Drosophila melanogaster: one gene and its partners. The protein of the gene in region 1 interacts with the protein of each later gene in a pairwise test. Each region holds a gene or a part of one and is shown on either strand. Other genes may lie near its edges.

What was found.
Region 2: the proteins of Pfdn1 (region 1) and CG9522 interact in a two-hybrid assay, tested with the Drosophila melanogaster proteins (one large-scale study listed by BioGRID).
Region 3: the proteins of Pfdn1 (region 1) and Cpsf6 interact in a two-hybrid assay, tested with the Drosophila melanogaster proteins (one large-scale study listed by BioGRID).

Annotation. Positions count from the first base shown.
Region 1 is NT_033779.5:6,066,664-6,071,561, forward strand, and holds Pfdn1 (prefoldin 1), read left to right. Parts: upstream 1-2,415; 5' UTR 2,416-2,557; coding exon 2,558-2,587; intron 2,588-2,683; coding exon 2,684-2,826; intron 2,827-2,895; coding exon 2,896-3,103; 3' UTR 3,104-3,144; downstream 3,145-4,898. Other genes in the region: CG9147 (uncharacterized protein), read left to right, coding at 1-572, 626-899; CG9150 (uncharacterized protein), read right to left, coding at 1,104-1,145, 1,203-1,916; CG9154 (uncharacterized protein), read right to left, coding at 3,145-3,515, 3,570-3,729, 3,786-3,926.
Region 2 is NC_004354.4:14,845,324-14,852,222, forward strand, and holds CG9522 (uncharacterized protein), read right to left. Parts: upstream 3,486-6,899; 5' UTR 3,456-3,485; coding exon 3,320-3,455; intron 3,174-3,319; coding exon 1,459-3,173; 3' UTR 1,149-1,458; downstream 1-1,148. Other genes in the region: CG9521 (uncharacterized protein), read right to left, coding at 5,934-6,899.
Region 3 is NT_037436.4:8,309,238-8,318,623, forward strand, and holds Cpsf6 (cleavage and polyadenylation specific factor 6), read right to left. Parts: upstream 6,266-9,386; 5' UTR 5,901-6,265; coding exon 5,835-5,900; intron 5,440-5,834; coding exon 4,720-5,439; intron 3,915-4,719; coding exon 3,774-3,914; intron 3,514-3,773; coding exon 3,047-3,513; intron 2,837-3,046; coding exon 2,537-2,836; intron 2,479-2,536; coding exon 2,410-2,478; intron 1,990-2,409; coding exon 1,794-1,989; 3' UTR 1,256-1,793; downstream 1-1,255. Other genes in the region: CG43059 (uncharacterized protein), read right to left, coding at 9,350-9,386. UniProt on the Drosophila melanogaster protein: May play a role in pre-mRNA 3'-processing.

The DNA of each region.
Region 1 (4,898 bases):
TGCTCCATCAGCGGTCTGCAGATGACGCTGGACTGCCTGGAGCGCGGCGAAGACCAGTGCATCATTACGGGCGACACTCGCTGTCAGGTTGTTCAGCCGGAGCACGGCGTTCTGTCCAACGAGCTTATGACCGTGCAGCAGCCCCAAACTCGCAAGCGAGCTGGAACTGAACTGGCCACCGAGCCAGAGTTGACGCCCACGCTAGGTGCCGCTGCTTTGGCCTGGACTACTATGCAGACAGCACAGCGTCTGAACCTGCAACCGCTCGCCCTGCTACGAGAGTTCGCTGTAGAGCAGGATCACGAGCAGGCTATGTTCCGTCTGGATGGTAGGGAACCCGTGACGCCCAGTGATATCTACACCTGGAACATGGTCACAGGCACACAAAAGGGTATACCTGAAAGCATACTTGGCGATCTACATGCCAACCGCCTGTGCACGCATGACTTCAAACAAATCACAGCCAGCCACCTGCTAACGCATCTAGTCCATTCCCTTCCTGCAGGCGGACTGGGTTGCGCTTTTATGGGCACGACGGATGGCCGTTCCATGGCCATGGTACTTGAGAAGCTGTGAGTTTTGATCTCGGTTATGCCTGCTTCTACTAACACAAATCATCTTGCAGGGTGCCAAGCATTGATCAGGTGGAGGGCCTTCCGTTGCTCACTTTGTATACCAGGGAGCCCTGTCCACTGTGCGACGACCTTGTAGAGCAGTTGGAACAGGGCTTTGCAGGTCAATACCGTCTGGAGAAGGTTTACATCGACCGAAAGGAAAACGTTAGGTTCCTCCGCCTCTTCAGGCACGACATTCCCGTTCTGTTCTTCAACGGCCAGTTCCTATGCATGCACCGGCTAAACGAGGAAGCACTAAGAGAGCGGCTGGAGGCGCTAAACTAGTCCGATAATCGTTGGAAAAATCGTAAACAAACAAAATTCAATTCAGTTCAAGAAAATTCATAACTCAAGCTCTACTCTACTTGTTTATGATTAATATGGGGCATGCATATTGCGCAGAGTTTTTATTAAGTACAGTGTGTTTTTCATACTATAATCCTTGAAATTTATATTTTGCTCTGCATGGCTATTATAACCGGAAGAAGTTTAAAACATTTCGCCCATGGGTTTGATAGTGATTTCATGTACCTGAAGGTGGTTAGTTAAATTGGTCATAAGTTAATACATAATAGTGATTATGCTCACCTGAACATGAGGCGGAGTTCGCAGAGCATACATCACTGCGTCCGCAATGTTCGCTGGTTCGAGTCTGGCCATGTCTTTGACGTAAAAATGGATCTCTTCCGGGAAGATGTTCGTGTTCACCGCACCAGGACAGATGCCAGTAACCCGGATTTTGTTCGAGTGCAGCTGAAATTCCTGCCGATATGTCTCTGTGATGGCGGTGATGGCAAACTTGGTGGCCGGATATATATTGAACGATGGCAAAACGTCGATGAAGTTGAGCACCTGATGTCCGGCTATGCTGTTGATGATGAGAACGTGACCTTCGCCACCTCGCCGTTTCATGTTATTGAACGCCTCGCGGGTACACCAAATCACGCCCATTACGTTGGTGTCTATGACCTCCTTAAGCTTCTGCGTATTGCTCGGGGTGACCAGTTCCGTCTCGCGAGTAATGCCAGCATTGTTCAGCAGCACGTCGGCGCCCTCCAGCTCCCGTTCGATCCAGTCAAAAGAGCTCTGCACCTGATCTTCCTTGGAGACGTCGCAGCGCCGCGGTATGAAGTTCGCCTGCAGCTCCCGGGGCAGACTCTCCCTGAGCTCTTTCAACTTGGCCTCCCGACGTGCCAGGCCCACCACCCGTAGTCCAGCGCCGATCATGGCCCGAGCACAAGCGGCGCCTATGCCTCCGCTGGCTCCTGTTACCACAGCCAGTTTGTTCTGCCACCGCTCCATGCCGTCTTGTGAATGAGGAGCTGATGCAAGTAAGAAGCCCGCATCGGAAACTCGGGAGCAGTTTCATGGCTTCTTGGTTCGCAATTGAGGTTAATCTCCAACGGTCAAATGTTGTTGTCAGGTTGTAGATATATATATTAAAAGAAGATTCAACAATTTGGGTCAGGATTATACGCACTTAAGGTTAGGCTATCCTTTTATTCTTAAATTGACCTAAAGAAAATGTATTAAGGAACTGCGAGACTTTAAATATAAAATAAAATAGCTCAAATGTATATATTTTTTTAAGATTGTGTACTTTTTAAATTTGAATAAAAATTTTATAAGCGATAACATAAAAATTAATATTTGTACTTGGTAGTGACCAGTGACCACATTTTAAAGAAAAATTCAATTTGCATATTTATTCAAAGTCTTGAAATCGGTTTGAATTTACACTTGCCGGCAAATTGGTTATCGATAGTGCAGGGCGTACTCATCGATATTTTCAGGCCAGCAGGAGTCAGATATAACTGCCATCACTAATAAAGTAGAAAAAAAAAACCATAAGCTTACCGCAGGTGTTGCAATTTTCAGTGAATTCGCAGCAAAGCCAAGCAATTTGCATTCAATCATCTGTGAAGGAAAAGCTATCACACAAAATGGCACAAATGGACATCGAATTGAAGAAGGTGAGCGGAAGGCAAGTTGCCAAAAAGGCCGACTGCCGACGGAGAGCGCGTGCTCTTCCAAAGAACTTAGTCATAGACGATTCCTTTTGCACGCAGGCCTTCACCGAGATGCAGATCAATAAGCTGGAGACGACCAAGAAGATCCACATGATCGACATGAAGTGCGACATGGTCAAGACAGGCAAACAAAAGTACCAGCTGACAGAAAAGGGCACCAGCAGCTTGGCCGACGACACAAGGTACATAACTAGAATCACAATTAATCATCTCCAGGTGTTCAGGTGGCTAATTGAACTGTTTCCCTATAGAGTTTACCAGTCCGTGGGTCGCATGTTCCTGCTTACCGATGTACAGAATATGCGCGAGGACCTGAAGGCTAGGCAGGAGAAATGCGACAAAGCGATAGAACTGCTGGAGAAGAAGAAGGAGTTCTTGCAGAAGTCCCTTAAGAGCCAGGAAGACGGTCTGCGCGAGTTGGTGCAGCAGCGCAAGGAAGCCGATCAGACTGCGAAATAGACTACAACTCCAAACTGGCATTTATCCCTCAACGCAATTGCTTATTTATTTTCAATATACTCGTCTAAATTGAAGTTGGCGTAGCTGACAAACTTGTTGCCCAGATTGCGTTCGTGTTCCGGGCGGAAGCTGCACTTGAGGACGGGCAGGCGAGCGGTTAGCCAGGGCTCCACCACCTCACCGGAGCACAGGATTACCTTGCTCTCCTTCTGGTTTCGTTGCAGCCTAGTGATTATTTCACACGTTTTGGCGATGCACTCCTGGGACAGGAAGGGCGGGTCGGCCACGATGAGGTCATATTGCTGGTGGTGCTCTTTGAGGTAGTCCGGGTTGCTCCCTACGCAGTTCAAGTCGTAGTGCACAAAATCTGTGCCATAGGCCTCGAAACGCTTGTCGAACTCGAATATGTGCACTACAAGATAGAATGATGACAATTCATTCATAATCGTTTCACATGTCCACTTACCTGTGTCATGTATCTCCCTGATGTCCTTGTAGAGCGATGGGCAGGAGAGCAGTGCTATACTAAAGTCACCCGAATCCTCCGTGCGCTCCGCCAGAAGCTTACGCACAACATCACGCAATGCGTGCTTGGTTTCCGTGCTGTACCAGAACTGACTCAATTGCTGCAAGCGAAGAGAGTTTCACCATAAGTTTCTAAGGTATGTGCAGGTGCTCTTGCCCAATCCTCCTCGAACTGGGCATCCTTGCCGGTCTTGTTGGCGATTTGATTCTCCTCCTCGGCTTCGCGTTTTGATCTCTCCAACAGAAATTCGTTTAAAATGGCCAAAGTGTCGGCGGGCAGCGAGATGTCGTCGTCCATAATTAATTATTTGCCACTAAATGAATCTTAGAGCATTCAAATCAAAATAAACCAAAATGTGCGTTTGAAGATTAGAGGTGCGAAATTAGCGATACAAATGAGAACTTATTGGGGGGATTCCAGGCCTTGGCGCTGTTTTCAAATTGTAAATTATTAGAAACTTAGGCCAACTGCGATATTGAAATTATACTTTCAAAATAATATGCACTTTAACCGTATGCAAATCGATTACCAATTTTAATTTATTTTAAGTTATTTTATTAATACAACTAGCTCCAGAAACCTGTATCGTAACTTTTATTTGACAACACATTTTCAAACTGTACTGAATATTTAGGCGTTTAATCGACAACTAAAACAGCAACTTTCAAGTACGTGGTCTTTAAATTTCGTAAGATCGAGAAAGCAGTGCGATACAAATCGGTGGCAGCCCTGTGTCAGTTCGTTTTTATCGAACTAGATCAACTTTGCCCGTCCATCTCTAGTTCGCACGGGAGCCCCGACCAAACTGATACGTATTAATTTACGAGAAAAACTTGCGTTTAATTCGAAGTCACATCATATCGCAGGCTGGAACGTACCTGCTGCTAAGTAAGAGGTAAGTGAATGGCCAACGTGAATTAGGAAAAATCAGTGCCTTGCCGGAAACGAAATCCATGTGATTAAAGGCTAACTTTCTTCGCTTGACGTCGTTCCCAAATCGGATAAAAGTGTGCTGCTGGCCCAGTAATTACACTGGTGAATTATGCAGGTCGGCATTTGGACTCGCTCCGCGACTTCCGTGCGGGGGAGGAAGCATCCAATCCCCAAGCGCAACCGTTTCGAATTTCTACAGCGCGGCGCGAAGAGCCCTGCACTTTGATTTCGTTGCCGTTCATTGTGGAGTTCAGTCGGGTCAATCAGCCTCAATTTGCGAGACTTACCTTCTGAATCTCTGACGTGTACCTACCAACCAAACTGTCCACTATGTGA
Region 2 (6,899 bases), on another chromosome or scaffold:
AAAATGAACTACAAACTCCAGTGAACTCCAGGAAGAAACATGCATATAGACCACTTTAGGAAGAGCTTAAAAAATAAACCGACACGGAAAATCGTAAAAAGAAACTTTGCCAGCCAATGAAGCCTGAAGAGCAAATAAACTAAGAAATAGAATTCAAACAAAGAATCCAATTGAGCATTAAACTAACCGAATCGAAATACAAACACCAGACAATAGCAACATAAACCAAATGGCAAGGCGACCAGAAATAGTAAACTTATAAAAAACAAAGCAAAGTTGGCCAGAACCGGTTAAAGAAATTAAAACAAACCTAAATAAAATTAGCACCAATTAGCAGTAAACAAAAATAAATAGTGAAAATCGCAGAGTTTAGCTGGAAGCATCAAAACATAGTTGAGGTGCCGAAAGTCATTAAGATAAACTTAGACTGATCCAGTTTCAGATGAGTTGGTTCTTCTTGATTAGTTTAAAATGTACACGGTGAAAAATTACAGTGATTTAACGTAATTATATATATATATATATATATATCTAAGGTATTAAATAGGTTTATAAAGGAAATATTCGAAAGGTGCTTAAAAGTATGCAATAAAAACCATATCCTGGGCAGTAAAATATATTGCTGCAAGTTTTGTAAGAAAATTAAAAAAAACTTAAAACTATAGGGTATCCAGAAAATGATAGCCACATTTCCTGGTTTGACCAAATGCGAATGGAGAATGACAAGATTCTCACTTTTTAAGTGCCGTCTACCATTTGCGGGTTCATTTAACTTTGGCGCGTGTTCTCCCAGCGTTGGGCCCCTAAATGCACTTCAAGTTAATATGTAAAATAACAACAATATCGTATATACATACATATGTACATACATCATCGATGAGGCATACCCAATCCCGGCGCTCTATTGGTATTTTTTTGTCGGCCAGACTGACGAGCCATTGAACTTGGAGTGCGTAAACCCGTTTTTGGGATGCCTCGTTTGGCCCGATTCGGATTCGGTTCAGTTCGAGACCGGAACGGATCGGTGGGAACTTATTAAGCTAGGTCATGACGTGGTCCAAATTGGATTGACCCGAACCGTTCTGAAGACCCCGTTTGGCGCTACACTCAACGAAAACGGGTGGCAATTGAGTTAAAAGTCAATTATAAAGATTTTCGATGGCATTTATTATAAAAAAAAAAATGTTATTAATTTTATGAATTTGAATTAAAGATTTTCAAAATGTTGAAAATAATAATGATATATGATACCCTTTAAAATCCAATGAAAATGTGATTTTTTTTTTCTTACTGATTTAAAATTATGTATGGAACACAATCTTTTAAATTATTAAAGAATTGTCGAATGCTTTTAACGTGTGACGATTTTACCCGTTTGCTTTCTTTCAAACTTTCCTCTCGCATTTTATTAACCCCTTTACATAAATCGCTGATTTGGTGATCTTCATCTGGAGTTAATCAACTCCATTCGGATCGTATCATATCAGCCGCCTTTTCCCCAATCATAAATGCCGCTGCATTTGTGTGAGCGGTGGGTGGAAACGGTATGATACTGGTGTCCACCACCCGAAGTTTCCTCACTCCATGCACCTTTAGCTGATGATTGACCACGGTGGTGGGATCACTTTCGGCGCCCATGCGACAGGTGGCCACCTGGTGGTGCAGTGTGTAGGATAGCGTGCGTATGGAGCACCGCCAATAATCATCCGAGGCGAATTCGTAGTTCTCACAACCTGGCACCGGCTTGTCCAACAATCTGGTTCCAATCGCCTGCATGGCCGGCATCTTGGAGATTCTGAGTGCCTCCTTAATGCCCTCCAGCAAGTTCTCCACATCCGACGGAGCCGAAAAGTACTTGGGATCGATGCGTGGCCACTCGAGTGGATTGCGATTGTGCAGCCAGAGGCGACCCACGGAGGCGGGCTTGAAGTGCATGATGAGGAAGCTAAAGTGATCCTGCTGCCTCAACGTCAGATTCTTGTACATTTTCTCGTAGATCTCGGGCTTAAAGTTGGCTCCTTTGGCCAGGGCAGTGCCATCATCGCTAGCCAGGCTGCCGGCCACTTGGATGAGTTCCACATCGGGTTGGGTGGCCGGACTCTTGCCCGACGGCACCTTGATGAAGGTGAGCGTCTCTACGCCACCGATACTGGACAGAAAGGTGTCTGCCCGGCCCAGTAGAAACTCCTTGGCCACCGGTGCGCCCAATTGAGCGGCAAATAGAGTCTGGCCCGTTGTGTTGGTCACAAAAGTGGGTCCAAAGTGGCACATGTGATCGAACATTCTCTTACCCACTGGCAGTGCCTTGATCAGGGGTATTCCAATGGCCTTGAGGTTATCTTCTGGCCCAATCCCCGACAGCATCAGCAACTGTGGAGAGTTGAAGGCACCCGCCGATAGAATGATTTCCTTGCGGGCTTTCACCTTAAAGCTTCTGCCCTGATGGGTCAACTCCACTCCATAGGCGGACTTGGTGGCTGCATCTATCAGAACTCGGGTGACTCTAGCCAGTGTTAGAATGTGCAGATTATGACGCCTAGATCTTATGGGCTCAATATAGGCACGAAAGGCACTGTGCCTCCTGCCCTTCAGTGTGGTGGCCTGCACATAGGAAACGCCCAGCTGGGATTCACCATTGTAGTCCGTTCTCGGATGACCCGCCTCCTGGGCAGCTCTAATGTAGGCGTGTGCAAGTCGCGTCCGGTGTCGCACATCCTCCACACTCAAGGGACCACTGTGATTGTGATATGGCGAGTGCTCCAATCCCTGAAGCTGTGCATGCTCACTTCGCAGAAAGTAGGGCAACACCTCGTCGTAACTCCAGCCGGGATTTCCAGCTGCCGCCCAGGCATCAAAATCCCTACGATTGCCCCGATTGTAGATCATGTAATTGATCGAGCTAGTGCCACCCAGAACTTTGCCCCTCGGCAGGGCACACTTGTTATCGGGCATTCCACGACAGGCATGGCGTTGTGGCGTCGAGTTGTAGCCCCAATTGGAGGCAGTCGACTGCAAATGGGCCGCCAGTAATGGCACCTGATGCACTATGTTCTCCACTCCTCCGGCTTCGATAAGGAACACACTCCAATTGGGATTCTCCGAGAGACGAGCGGCCAATGTACAGCCAGCAGCTCCGCCTCCAACTATTATGAAGTCATAGTTTCTTTGGGGAACTGCAAGGAGATTTTAAAATATATGTGTTAAATCGATTACAAATTTTCCAGTACTAAAAGCATGGAACTCTCTGGCATAAATACGCTTATTATATTGGAGCACATATAGGTACTTGAATATTTCCATGATTTGAATAAACCCTCACCATCGCTGAAGAATGGCACATTGACGACATTTCCCAATCCCAGTCGCCGCAGTTCGTCCAGTTGGGAGCTCCTTTGGGAGTGGATCAGTGGGATCAGGAGCAGAAACAGAAGCTGGGTCAGCAGCAGCTTCTCCATGGTTGCGATGGCCGGTAACTGAACTCTGTGGCTACCGAGCTTTCCGTGATATTGGACCTCTACGTCTGCCAACGCACTGTGGAACGAGTTTTAAAAGTCTCAAAAAAATCTAGATATGTGATTTATTTTATATTTTACTATTATTGCGCTTTTTATTTATGGGCGTGGAAAGTTAGTTAGTGAACATTAATTGAAACTTTTATTATTTTATTTCAAATGGAACTTGCTCCACTGTGGATTATCTTGCCGGTTTGGTTCTCCCTCACTGATCTCTATACCCCCCTCTCTTTCGCGCCGCCTTTCTCCGCATCACTACGTCTTCTTTTTTTCCTCCACTGTTGAGATGAGTTGGTTGACTTGGTGGCCAGGTTTGTAGGGCCAAAACAGGCTGAGATTGTCTCAGAATTTTTATTGCCACTTGCTAATTTGCGCATTCTGCTTGCTCATCTCTACGGTCTTGCCTCTCTTTTATTTGCTGTTCCTCTGTCTCTTTTCTAATGCAGAAAACAAAAATTTAGATCATTTAAGTTTTGATTTGATAAAGACACCCATGGTAAATGGTTAATTTCTTCAGCAATTTGTAATTAGTTTTTCTTAAAATTAATGATTTTTGCAATATTTTAAATACATATATTATATACATTAGTTTTCTCTCTGTGTTTCTTCTGCATCTGAGCTCGGTTCAATGGCATTTGGATGGGCATCTTGTGCTGGCTTTGTTTATATTTTTATTTTTTATGCCGGACTGTCAGTTAAATCTTTGAAGATTGAAGCACCAGCGGCTCGGGCACTCGAGGGTTAATATATATTTCAAGCCACCCCATAGAGTATTATAATCAAGAAAAAACCAAAACAAAACAAAACCAAAAACGATTAAACGACTTTAGGTCTAGCCAAAAATAAAAAAATGTATAAAAGGGGTGGCTCAGTGCAGTTGGTATCAACCCCAGCATATGGATGCAGTTCATCCAATCCCACAATAAAAGTCATTGGATGCCCTTACAAAACCAAAGCAGCCGAAAGGGGAACATGAAACCAAAATGTGAACAAGACTGGGATTTCACAGAGGACATTGATGTGAAATTCGGAGGAAGGGCCATGTTTTGGTCATGGCAATTGCATTCAAAATTTGTCTCTATTGTGTTCGCCTTTTTCTTTTTTTTTTTGAGCGGCTCAAACCGCCCCCTCGATTCATGAATATTTCAATTTGTGTTAATGAAAAGTCTAGTGACTTTTTTCGAAAGGAAAGGGAAATGTTTTCATGAGTTTTCAATGGGAAATAGGATAGCCTATAGCTCACTCGGTATTTAGTCAAAAGTAAATGAAATAAAATTTGTGCAACAAATAAATTGAGTTGTACGTAAATTGCCTTGTTTTCTATATGCACATGTAAGTTTATAGAATATATGTGAATATATTAAATTTAATAAGCACTGTCAAAGGCTAGTCACGTAGTGACGAATGTGATTTAGAATCACAAGCCGGCTTTGAAATTCTTCGAAAAATATAAAATCCAAGAGCTTTAAGCTGAGCTCAAAGCTTTTCGTTTCATTTCGATTTGAATAGAATTTTAATATAGCCTACCCTTGGGGATATTGAAAGATATACTTATACCAAAGCAATTATTCTCAATTTTCGACTGATTTATACCCACTCTACATACATAAATAATTCTAAGGTCAAATCGATGCGAATTATACCAAGATCAATCCAAAGACTCAGCACCGAAAATTGCTTGAACAAAACACCTAACAAATTATTCACACCGGCTAAGTTCGTTAGACAAGATAAAAAACGAACGCAAAAAAAACGAGAGTGATGAATAAAAAAAAAATCATTTCCGCAACAATAAAAAGATCGAGAGAAACTCAAAAACAAAGGCGTGTAATAAATCAAAACAAAAAATCGTCAAACAAGCGGACAACTTCATGTATTTCACAGATTTTGATTATGAAGCCACAAATTGATTAGCATGAAAAGTGCCAGAGTTGAAAATCCCTATTGATATAAATGAGACAATGCCAAAGACAGAAGTCCAATAAAATTCAATGTCAAAGTCAAATGGTTTAGGCAGTACGAATTTTTTGGGCCTATAACTATTGTTATTTTTTCTGGTATTCAAGGAGTTGGATAGTTAATCATTTTAAAATTCCCAAAGTCAAATATGCATTCTATAGAGTTCATATAGTTCAATAATTCTGCTTGCATAGTAAACGAATTTTGTTTATATAGTACATACAAAACTTATAATCATTTATTTATGCTTATATAACTAAATCTTAAACTAGAATCAGTTCAGGCAAGAAAGAATTACTACACATAATAACAAAAAGTTTTCGAAGGCCTTAACTAAAACTAAAGCCCCATTTTACACTGGCCATTGCATTTAAGGTGTGATTTAACGAGATGATTCGATGGTAGGCCAGTGTAAATGGGGCTTAAACCTGATTGTGTAATTAACTTTGGGCTAAGATGGCTTCACTGGATGAAACCATGATCCTGTTTAATCATATCGGCTGCCTTCTCGGCAATCATGAAGACGGGTCCATTCGGATGTCCGGACATGATTTCCGGCATAATGCTGGCATCTGCGACTCGCAGATTCTTGATTCCGTGGACACGGAGACGATGGTCCACAACTGCAGCTCGATCGGATTTGGGACCCATCTTGGCGGTGCCGGAATAATGGTAAATGGTGAAGGTAAAGTGCCTCACATAGCACGCCCAATAGGCCCAACTCTTGTAGGGATGCTGTTTGCATGTGGGTATCTTCTTTTCCCACAACCTGGCATTTATCTTCTCCATGCCACGTTGTTCCATCAGACTAATGGCCTTAAGTAGACCCCGCACCGAGATATCAACATCGTAGGGATGGGCAAAGTAATTGGCATGGATCAGGGGATACTTGAAGGGATCACTGCTCTTCAGCATGATGCGACCGCGACTCTTTGGGCGCAAAATCATGGGGAAGATCATGAAGGCATTCAGTGATTTGTCTTCGATCTCGGCAAAGAGTGTATCGTATATGGACTTCTTCAAACCAAAGGCACGTGAGATGGCCGGATTGGAGGACATGGAACCGCCCACCAGGAAGAGCTCAATATCCGGCCAGCCGTCCTCATCGCGTTCGTGATCCAGATCCCAGAAGGCAATGGCCTCACAGCCACCGGGAGATCCATATGGTCCTTCCATTCTGTTGAATCGATTAATGAGTGTGGGATCGGAAAAGTCCTCGAATTTCAGGGAGGTGGCATTGGTGGTGAACGTAACCGCCGGTGCCGTGTGATCCTGAAGATTGTAACCCACTGCCAGATCAGCCAATGGCTTAATGCCAACTTCGCGAAGATGTTTGGCTGGTCCCACGCCAGACAGCATCAGTAGTTGGGGCGTATTGATGGCTCCGGCGGACACAATCACCTCCTTTCTGGCCAGGATCTTTTGCAT
Region 3 (9,386 bases), on another chromosome or scaffold:
CCCACCTGAGTCAGTGTTGGGTAAACGGACATTTTTCGAACTTCCAGATGATTCTATGACGTGTTTTTCGGTTGCGCGCGCTGCCTACTTTCCATTTGAAAAGCAACGAAGTTCGAAACGACTAGTAAATGTTTTTTTTATTTCGCGCTAGATCCAAAAACAAGGTAATTGGCGTATTTTCTAAAAACATTGTACATGGTAAATAATAAACTATGGCAAATTGGGCGACTAGGTGCTGTTACTTGTCCATAAAACAAGAAAACTCTAAAAATTCTATAGTGTATATATAGGGTCCCAGAAGAATGGGACAACATTACCTGCTTTGGCATGACTTAACAGACAGTAATGGTTTGTATAAATTCATATGTAGTTTGTTTCATCGAGATCACAATCACAGTATAAATTGTACAAGACATCGTTAAGCTCATAATACTCTTAACACCTCTAGGCTCTCGCTCTGCGGAGAGTTACAGGTACTTTTCAAATCGTAGACTTGATTTAACAAGGTGTAATTGCAATTCGGGATTAGTGGGACATGATCTTAGTCGAGTATCGTTTACAAAATGTATATACAAATTAAAAGTAAAGCTAGAATTTAAAAAAGTAAAATGTAGATGATACAATTGGAGGCCTAAGTTGTGTAAAATGAGCCGCGAGTAGTACAGTATCTCGGGGGGAACTGAATGACTTTGTTCTTTTCTTGGAACCTATGTTAGGAACTACATCAGCTTGTAACGTTAGTATAGTTAACTACGATAAATGCGATTGGGACGTTTCTCTTTTAGAGTAATTTAGTCTAAAAATCATGGTATTTGGGCTAAAAGCACACACTCGACTTATTCTATACAAACATATGGTTTTCTCCATCCGTTTATGCGGATGGATTCAGTCGGCATTTGAATGCTACAAAAATTCACTCACACTCAGTCTCAAGCACACAATTATGATCGACTTAAGTTTAATTGTTAAATAAAAACAAGATTAAACAAATGCGTGGAGAATGTTTACAACAAAAGATCGCGAAATATTTGAAAATACATTAGGGATAACGATTTTCGGCCTCAGTCGGCAAAATGATTTTGTTAATATAACAATTTCCATATTAATTGCACGCACAAGTGCAATAATTTTGTAATTTTTACATACAATTTTGTTGTACAATTATAAAGTCATTAACTAATAAGATGTTTTTTTTTTTATATAATAAGAGTACAAGAAGACACACAATACAAGACAGTTTTGGTAAAGGTTTTTTCTGGAACAATTCTTTTTTTCATACGTTTATGTTTTATTAAATAAACCGAAATTTTAGAGTACAATAATATTGAAATTCTGCTGCGAAGACGGCGGTGCAGGAATGCTAGTTGTTTGTTGTTTGATGATCCAGTGCGCATCAGTGTCTATAATGTCCCACGCTGACTGTCCCCTTGGCTTCTCCATCGATCCTCCTGCTACTGCTGCTGACTTCGGTCTGCCGGTCTTGATGTTGCCAGGATTCTGTGATGTGAAGTTGGATGGATCCAGAGGCAGTCCCCGTCCGTCGTTGGTAAAATCTTGTCAGCATTTCGGCTTATTATAGTATGTCTAGAAGAACTATGCTGTTTGCCATATTCATATCCTACGTATTGGTAATGTTAGATACAAATCGAAAATCTGTTAATTGTGGCTAGCTTGTCATCCCACCAAGCTGCGGCTTATTGTTTGTTAATAGAGTGTGTTTAGTATATCTGTGTTGCATCTTTACACTTGATTACGGGTCCACTGGCGATGGTTCCAACTTCCACTTACGGCAGTCAATGCCGGGAACGGTGCTCCTCACGCCTGTCGCGATCACGCTCCCGCTCGCGGTCGCGGTCTCGATCGCGGTCGCGTCGCTCACGGTCCGAGGAGCGGTACCTTTCCCGATCCTCGTAGTAGCGCTTCGATGATGGCGCCTCCGCTGCTTCGGCGACTACGGGTTCCGGCGACTTTCGTGGACGCACCGATCGGCTGTTTTCGGATTATGGGATTGAAATTAACGCAAGGTTTTCATTTCGAGCTTAAAAATAATTCGCTTAATTGTCACCGTATATTGTTGCACAAAAGAGCAAAAATATTCTGATGAGCCTAAACAGTTACAATTCAAGCTAACATCTTTACAGAAAGCTTTTAATGAAAATAAAAAATTTGAAAAGCCTATACCTTAAAAATACTACCTTTTAATAAATTATACATTTTTCCAAATATTTTAAAATAAAGTTTCGTCTGACTTTACAAATCTACACTTGTTTTTACAGCAAAAGTAAAAAATCTGTTTACGAGTGAATAAATTATGAGTTCTATGCTATTTAAATGAAGCACTATGATTAATTAATCAGCAACTTTTAAATGAGACAGTGAAGCGAATTTTTAGAAGTAGAACGTCTTTACCTGTCATCCCTGTAGTGATCTGGAGCCTGGCGTTCACGTTCTCTACTGCGAGACCTCTCTCTGTAGCTTCTAGAAAATGAATACGGAATTAAGTGTGAGGCTTACACATGGTAGAACCAAAACTTACCCGCCATCCCGTTCACGCTCACGATCCCGATCGCGTTCCCGCTCCCGAGATCGCTCGCGGTACCTGGACGTGGAACGCTCACGTCGCTGTCGGCTGCGATGAGATCGCTCCCTCGACCGCGACCTTTCGCGCCTATTGTAGCTCTTGGCCTCGATGCCATGCAACGTGTCCTGCAGCGAGCTAATCAGAATTTTGCATCGCTCATCGTGCGCTACCTTGGACTGTTTGATCAGTGAAATGGCTGTGACCAGTGTCTCGATGGCGCTCGAGTATTCACCAGCGGCTGCATCAGAAACAGCTCTGAAAATAAATTAGCATAAAAAGGGAATTGATATTTGATCAACAAAGTAATTAATTATCTAGATAATTTATTAATTAGACCGGATCTGAGTCATAGTTTCAATAATTGGAATTTTCTATGAATTCGACTTAGGAATGGGTTAGTTTTTAAATAATAACTACAAGTTTTGACCTCGTTAAAGAAAACATTTTAAAAACCTTTGCACTCACCTGGCGATCGCCGAACTGCTGACTGTGCGATTTCTGCTCATCACCTCCTCGAACTCCACCTCCGTCAGTTGCGGACCCATCTGCTGCGGATCGGGGAAGGGACCTGGTGGCTTACCCTGCGGTGGCGGCCACGGACCACGTGGTCCATGCTGGGCGAACTGGGGTGGCGGTCCATGCTGTGGCGTCATGTTCATGCCCTGTTGCGGTGGCATATTCATGCCTGGCTGTGGACCTGGTGCTCCGTGGGGCGGGCCACCCATGCCCGGATGCTGGGCAGGACCACCAGGCTGGTTAAAGAATGCTGGGTTCACGTGGGGTGCGGGTGCGCCGTGTGGTCCGCCCGGACCTGGTGCTGGGGGAAGGCCACGTGGCGGACCTTGCGGCGGGAAACCACCGTGCATGGGTGGACGACGCCAGTCGGGACCTGCCGGACCCCTGACGGGCATGCCCATTGGGCCTCCTTGGAACTGCAAGGCAGAAGAGACAAGATTATTTACTGTTCCCAATGATCGGATCGAATCGGTTTCTAAGCTATAGTATGAGTTTGTGTTGCATGGGTTGATCTGTGGAATTACTGAAAATGTTCTGAATACATCGCTTAAGACTAAGTTAACTAAGGTTAACTTAAGTTGGGTTAGTCTTCCTTTATCTCGCCTTCTCTCTGGCTTCGTTAGAATTATATTATGGCATAGATACAAAGAGGACTCAGTGCTTTGGGGATTGTTACCATTGGTCGCTGCGGTGGTCCGTTCGGTGGACCTGGTCGCGGCCCGCCTGGCCGCTGACCTGGCCATTGGCCCTGCGCTGACGGATACCGGGGTGGCGGCTGTTGGTTCCCCATGAGCCCGCCTTGCGGATGCATTGGCGGCTATATTAATACGAATTACGTTTTATATTGAAGTAGTAGTTGTTGTTGTGGGGTAGAAGTGTGCGTAAGCGTTGTCAAAGACATGGAATAGAACATAAATCGTAATACATAAACATTTTGTATAACAATAGCGGGCCATTATACACAATTACAAATACTAGGGGGGGAAATACATTAACGCAATTAAATCAAAAGTATATATTATTTGAGTGGAACCAGGAAGGCACTGCTCTTGATTTTAATTTATTACATGTGCTTTTTTTTGTTGAAAGTCTATGACTAGAGTACAAAAGGAGTAAAAAGAATACAAACTGCCTTAGGCCGAGGAGTGCTACAAAAAATTGCTCTGAAATTACTTGTGAATTAATAGAAGTAAAGAATAAGAATAGTACTTAAAGACATAAATAAAAATTCTTAGAAACTTAATTTGTACGACAGCTTTAGTTTAGTTTATAAATTATCAAATGAAATACTAACAAGAGATCGGATATTTCAGATTGTTTATATCTCACATCTAAAGTCGTTATTGTTTTCTCTAAATTGTAAAACTAAGTTTCTACGTTTAATTTACAAAAGAATATCGAACAACTGAAGTAGAACATATTCGTTTATAAACTATACATGAAGTCGTATATTTAGGGTTTCTAATTTTACCTAAGTAAGCAAATTTTGCATTCAGAACAATTTTGATGGAAATAGGAAATAATGTAGGAATGTAGAAACAAAACAAATTAGAACCGAGCGATATTTCTACAAACGATGAGACCTCTTGGGGCCATGTGGGGCTAAAACAGTGGTTGTGTACCTGCATTCGTGGAGGTCCTGAGTTGGGTCCGCCCACCTGGGGAACCTGCGACATGTGCTGCGGTCGGTACTGGCCCGGCTGCATGATGGAGTTCATCCCGCGCGGTGGATGTCCCGGTGGTCCACCTCCTTGCGGTCCTCCTGGATGTCCGGTGGGCATTGGCCCGCCACCCATACTGGGTGGTGCCGGACCCCTGGGCGGTCCATTCTGCTGCGGCGGCGGCACTGGACGCGTCTTTTGCAGACTCTCGAATTGGGTGAGTGCCTGCTTGCTGGGATACGTGACCACCGGCGCTTGGCCGTGCATCTCCTTCTTGGGCAGCTGGTCGAGCACGGCGCGCAGGCTAGATTCTGAGCCGAGGGAGATTACACTGAAGCCCTTCGACTGACCGTTGGCCCTGTTCTCAAAAAACTTCACTTCCTGTAGATCACTCACGCCAATGTCTCGCAGCGAATTGGCGATATCCTGGTCAGTGGTCCACCATGTGAGATTGCCCACATAAAGCTGGTAGCGGCGATTCATGGTCGGAGTGAGGCTACCACTGCTCTGATGGTACACCCCATTGGGACCACCGGAATTCCGTTCGCCGGGTTCCCCGGAGCCTGGCCCTGCGGCTCCATCTGCGGAGGGCGTTCCACCGCCCCCGCCACCTGAGGCGGCCGATTCGGTGGGACCGCCTATGTCATCGTATAGGTCTACTCCATCGCCTCCAAATTCGTCCTGTGCGGATAAAGCAAAGTAATTAACAAGTGGGTCAAACTGTTGTGGGAATCCCGTAAAATCGTTAAAAATAAACGATCAAGTCTTGTTTTTTTTACAAATTCGATTTTACTCTATTTTTACTTTAGAATTTTTAGAATGTATAGTTATTGGGATTCGTACAATTCTCTACATTTCCATGGCTAAAGAAATTAAAAAAAATTACGTTTCATTTTTATATAAATATAATATCCCTGCACTCAGTTCCTAGAACCCTACTTTACAAGGTACCAAGTGGTCGAGTTCGCCCAAGACGCCGTTCTACCCCCTAACGCAATTCTTTCGGACATCGATCCACCCTACTGTATACATACACACGCGGCTTGCAGAGCGACTGCCTTTTTCCCATGGCTTACCTGAGCCTGCCCGGCAAAGTCCTTGTCGAGGTCCTCCGCGTACAGATCCAAGACCACGTCGGCCATGTTGAGCCGGAAAAGTTGCTATTCCTAGGCGTAATTACTGATTTTTCACCGCTTTTCCCAATTTTCGCACGCACACTAAGACACTCGCCAATCTTTCCGTCTCTGTCCCACTTGCACTCGCGCCTCGTACAGTTTCTTTTTTTTTGCGGGGGAGGGGGAAGCCGGAGCAGAAACCGGCGTGCTGCTGCGCGATTTAGCCGGGTAATCGCGCCCGCTGCACAATTAATTGATTAATTGCTTTGGCGCGTTGTTTTCCGTTGGGTGAATTCTGTAACTATTTACATTCTACTCGTGCACGAACTAGTTTCTTCAATCTTGCGAAAAAATTGTCAGCGTAAAATGGCGGAGCGGTGCAGTGTGACTGTAAAGCTGAAATGTGGAAAACCTATGCGGTATATTTTTGCTCGCATACTAGAAAATACCACATCCTGTTTGGGGTATTCCGCAATTTGACAGTTAATGAGAATACAACTACGATAAAATATATTTAATGAATAGAATTTAATTAGATGTGTTTGTTACCTAAATCGCTTTATTATTACCATAAAATAATCACAAATACTTGACATCAATTTCCAATTTGACTGTGGTCGTAGCGTGGACACAAACCATTGAAAATATATCGACTTCTATCGAATTTTGAATTTTAAAACCAACCGTTAGAACTTTCTTGAAATGTGTAATAAGTTCATTAGGTTCTTTGTTATTAAAAATCGACATGTGAAAATACTTAACATTCATTACAACACCCATAACAGGCATATCTTAATTTAAATATGCATACTTCTAATAAATTTGCCTTTTTAGGGGACCACCATCACACACACATTAATTTGCATAAATTGTTAATGCTGCCCAAAAACTATAGCCATGCATATATTAGATTTGCAGGTCCAAATAGACGCTGACCGTGTCACTTGCACAACTAGACAGCGCACTTGGCCAGAGCTCCAAATTTAGAATTTAAATATAGCAATTAAGCTGATTTATGCGGCCCGTCTGCAGGTTACAATAATTGCCGCTAACAACTCGGCTCTCCGAAATCTTCGAACTTGCTGGTGGCTGGGAACCGAGGAGATTGTGGCGCCGTCGACTTGGCCACTCGTATGCAAATGCGCGGTGAAAAATTGGGGGAAAAAAAAACCGAGGCAGCATTTTTTAGTCGGGCCTGTGAAAAAAAAGACACATATCCCGAAATCTAGTGCATGATTAGCCATGTTATTCGTGTATCTGATGTTTTTTCATTTTTCTTCTCGTATTTGGGCAGTAGTCCACCTGTTGGTATTTAGTTTTTAACTTTGGCTCTTTGACTCCCATATGTTAGTTGCGTTAATGAATTGCCTTAAATGTCAATTACCACTGGCTTTTATCGTCCAATCTGAACGGACGGCAATTATATTTGCTGCTCTCGCCTCATGCGATTGTGTGTTTAATTAACAAGAGTAATTAAATGGGTAATTACGATCTTTACAGCAATCAATCGATTTTTAAATGCTTCAGCGAATAAAGCTATTGCAGATTGGATTTTCGCGATTTGCATATGTGGAAATGTGTTTCCAATTCAAGGTGGGCGGTTCTTCAAGAGCAATCACGCAGATGGAAATCGACGGATGTTGGTGGCGAGGGTGCAGTCAATTGAAATTCTCGGCTAATCGCTGACATTTTTGGGACAGAATTGGGGCTCAAAGGTGCAACATTGAAGGGGAGGAGACTTACGCACGTAGTATTTATCTTAAATATACTGCACGCTTTTAAAATAACCAACAATAATAGGATAAAAATCAATTGCTATGAAAATATTGCGCATACGCCGTGTGGCCTTTGGCTGGCTATCATAAAAGTCGTATAAGTGTTATTGAATGTTTCCGATCACTTAGATCTACATAATGGCTACCACTCATATCAATTGCCCCCCATCGACCATTTCGGACGTGCGTAAGTCATGTCAAAAATTTATTGCGTGACCATTGGCTGGGATACTTTATCAAAAAGCGGCGCCGCAGCCTAACAAAGTGCCAACTTGCAACTTCCAAGCTTCCAACTGCCCAGTAGCCGTCGTGCCGCTCCACCACCATCAGTTGGGCAATGGATACGCAAAGAGAACATGCATAAATCTCACACCACAGCCGGCCATCAAGTGCACCTACACAGCAGCAGTCATTCGATGCGATTCGATTCGGTTCGGTCCTGGCCAAGTGTCGAGGTGCCAATTAAGGCTACACACTGCTGGGTATTTTGACCATATCATACTGCAAACTGCGAACTGTAAGCTACAAACTGCACTGCATGGATAATTTTTTTAACTCCGTGGAGCGACCGAAATGGACCAGGCCGAGTGTCATTTGATTCTTGTGGCAGGCTGGCGCGTTTCATGCGCCTTTGACATGCAACCAGGGTCCAAATCCAAAGCTCCATGCCGAGTCGGCACAGTTTACACGAATCACCAGCAAACAAAACAAAAAAAAAAAAAGAAAAAAAAAACCACCAGAAACCGACAAAAAGCGAACAAAAAACAAAAAAAAAAAAAAACATTACGAAATTTGTCGTCTGACAAAAAGCTTAGAAAACGATATAAATTAAATTTACGTTTTTGGTGCTCATTAAATGTTCACAACTTTGGGCCCAGCGAGGCATTTTCGGTTGCAAAATTAGAACATCGCTTTGGGAAATCGCCGCCAAAATGCAGTTAATTGTTTTTCGCTCTTGTTAAAGTTTTCTACTCGGTTTTCTCGCGATTGTCACAAATTGAATAATGTCTCAATTGCGCACCGCTGCTGTTTTGGAGAACATTCAAACATTGTTTGCCAACTGTTTGCAATTGTTTGCCGCCATACGAGGCGACTAATTACGTGGCCATATTGTATAATCGTGCCGTTTGATATATGTATGTATATCCTGGCACAGCAGCTGGCCGATCCAGCTCCAGATCCAGATTCAGCTCCAGAAAAAAAAGTGAAAGGCAAACATGCAACGCCCACTTCTCGCCAAGTGGCCAAGTATAACTCGACCATTATATAATTGTTACCATTTGACTAATTTGCCTTTTGGCCAGATAAATACCGAGCGAATAACGAGGAAAGCTGCTCTAGAGAGGCGCAAAAAAGGGGCTCAAAAATCTGGCCAACTGCTAGCCCCATTTGCCATGTCACGGTACTCCAGCCAGTGGCAATCGCACCACTGACCAACTTATCCAAAACCGGCTTCCAGCCGAGGCAGAGCCACTCCGAATATGGGTCAGCTACGTGAGTTAGTCCATGCACCCGACGCAATCTTAATTGCCAATCATCAATGGAAGCGCACGGGATGGAAATTAAGAGGAAAATCGAATTTAAGTTCCGCATTGGGGTTATACATACATATGTATCTGCACAAACAAGAACCCATAAAAAAAGCAGAGTCAAATTCAAGTAAGCAACAACCGAGGTGAGATCCTGGTTTTTAATTCGTTTCTACAGCCTGGGATGCATTCTGCCTGAAAAATGGCGA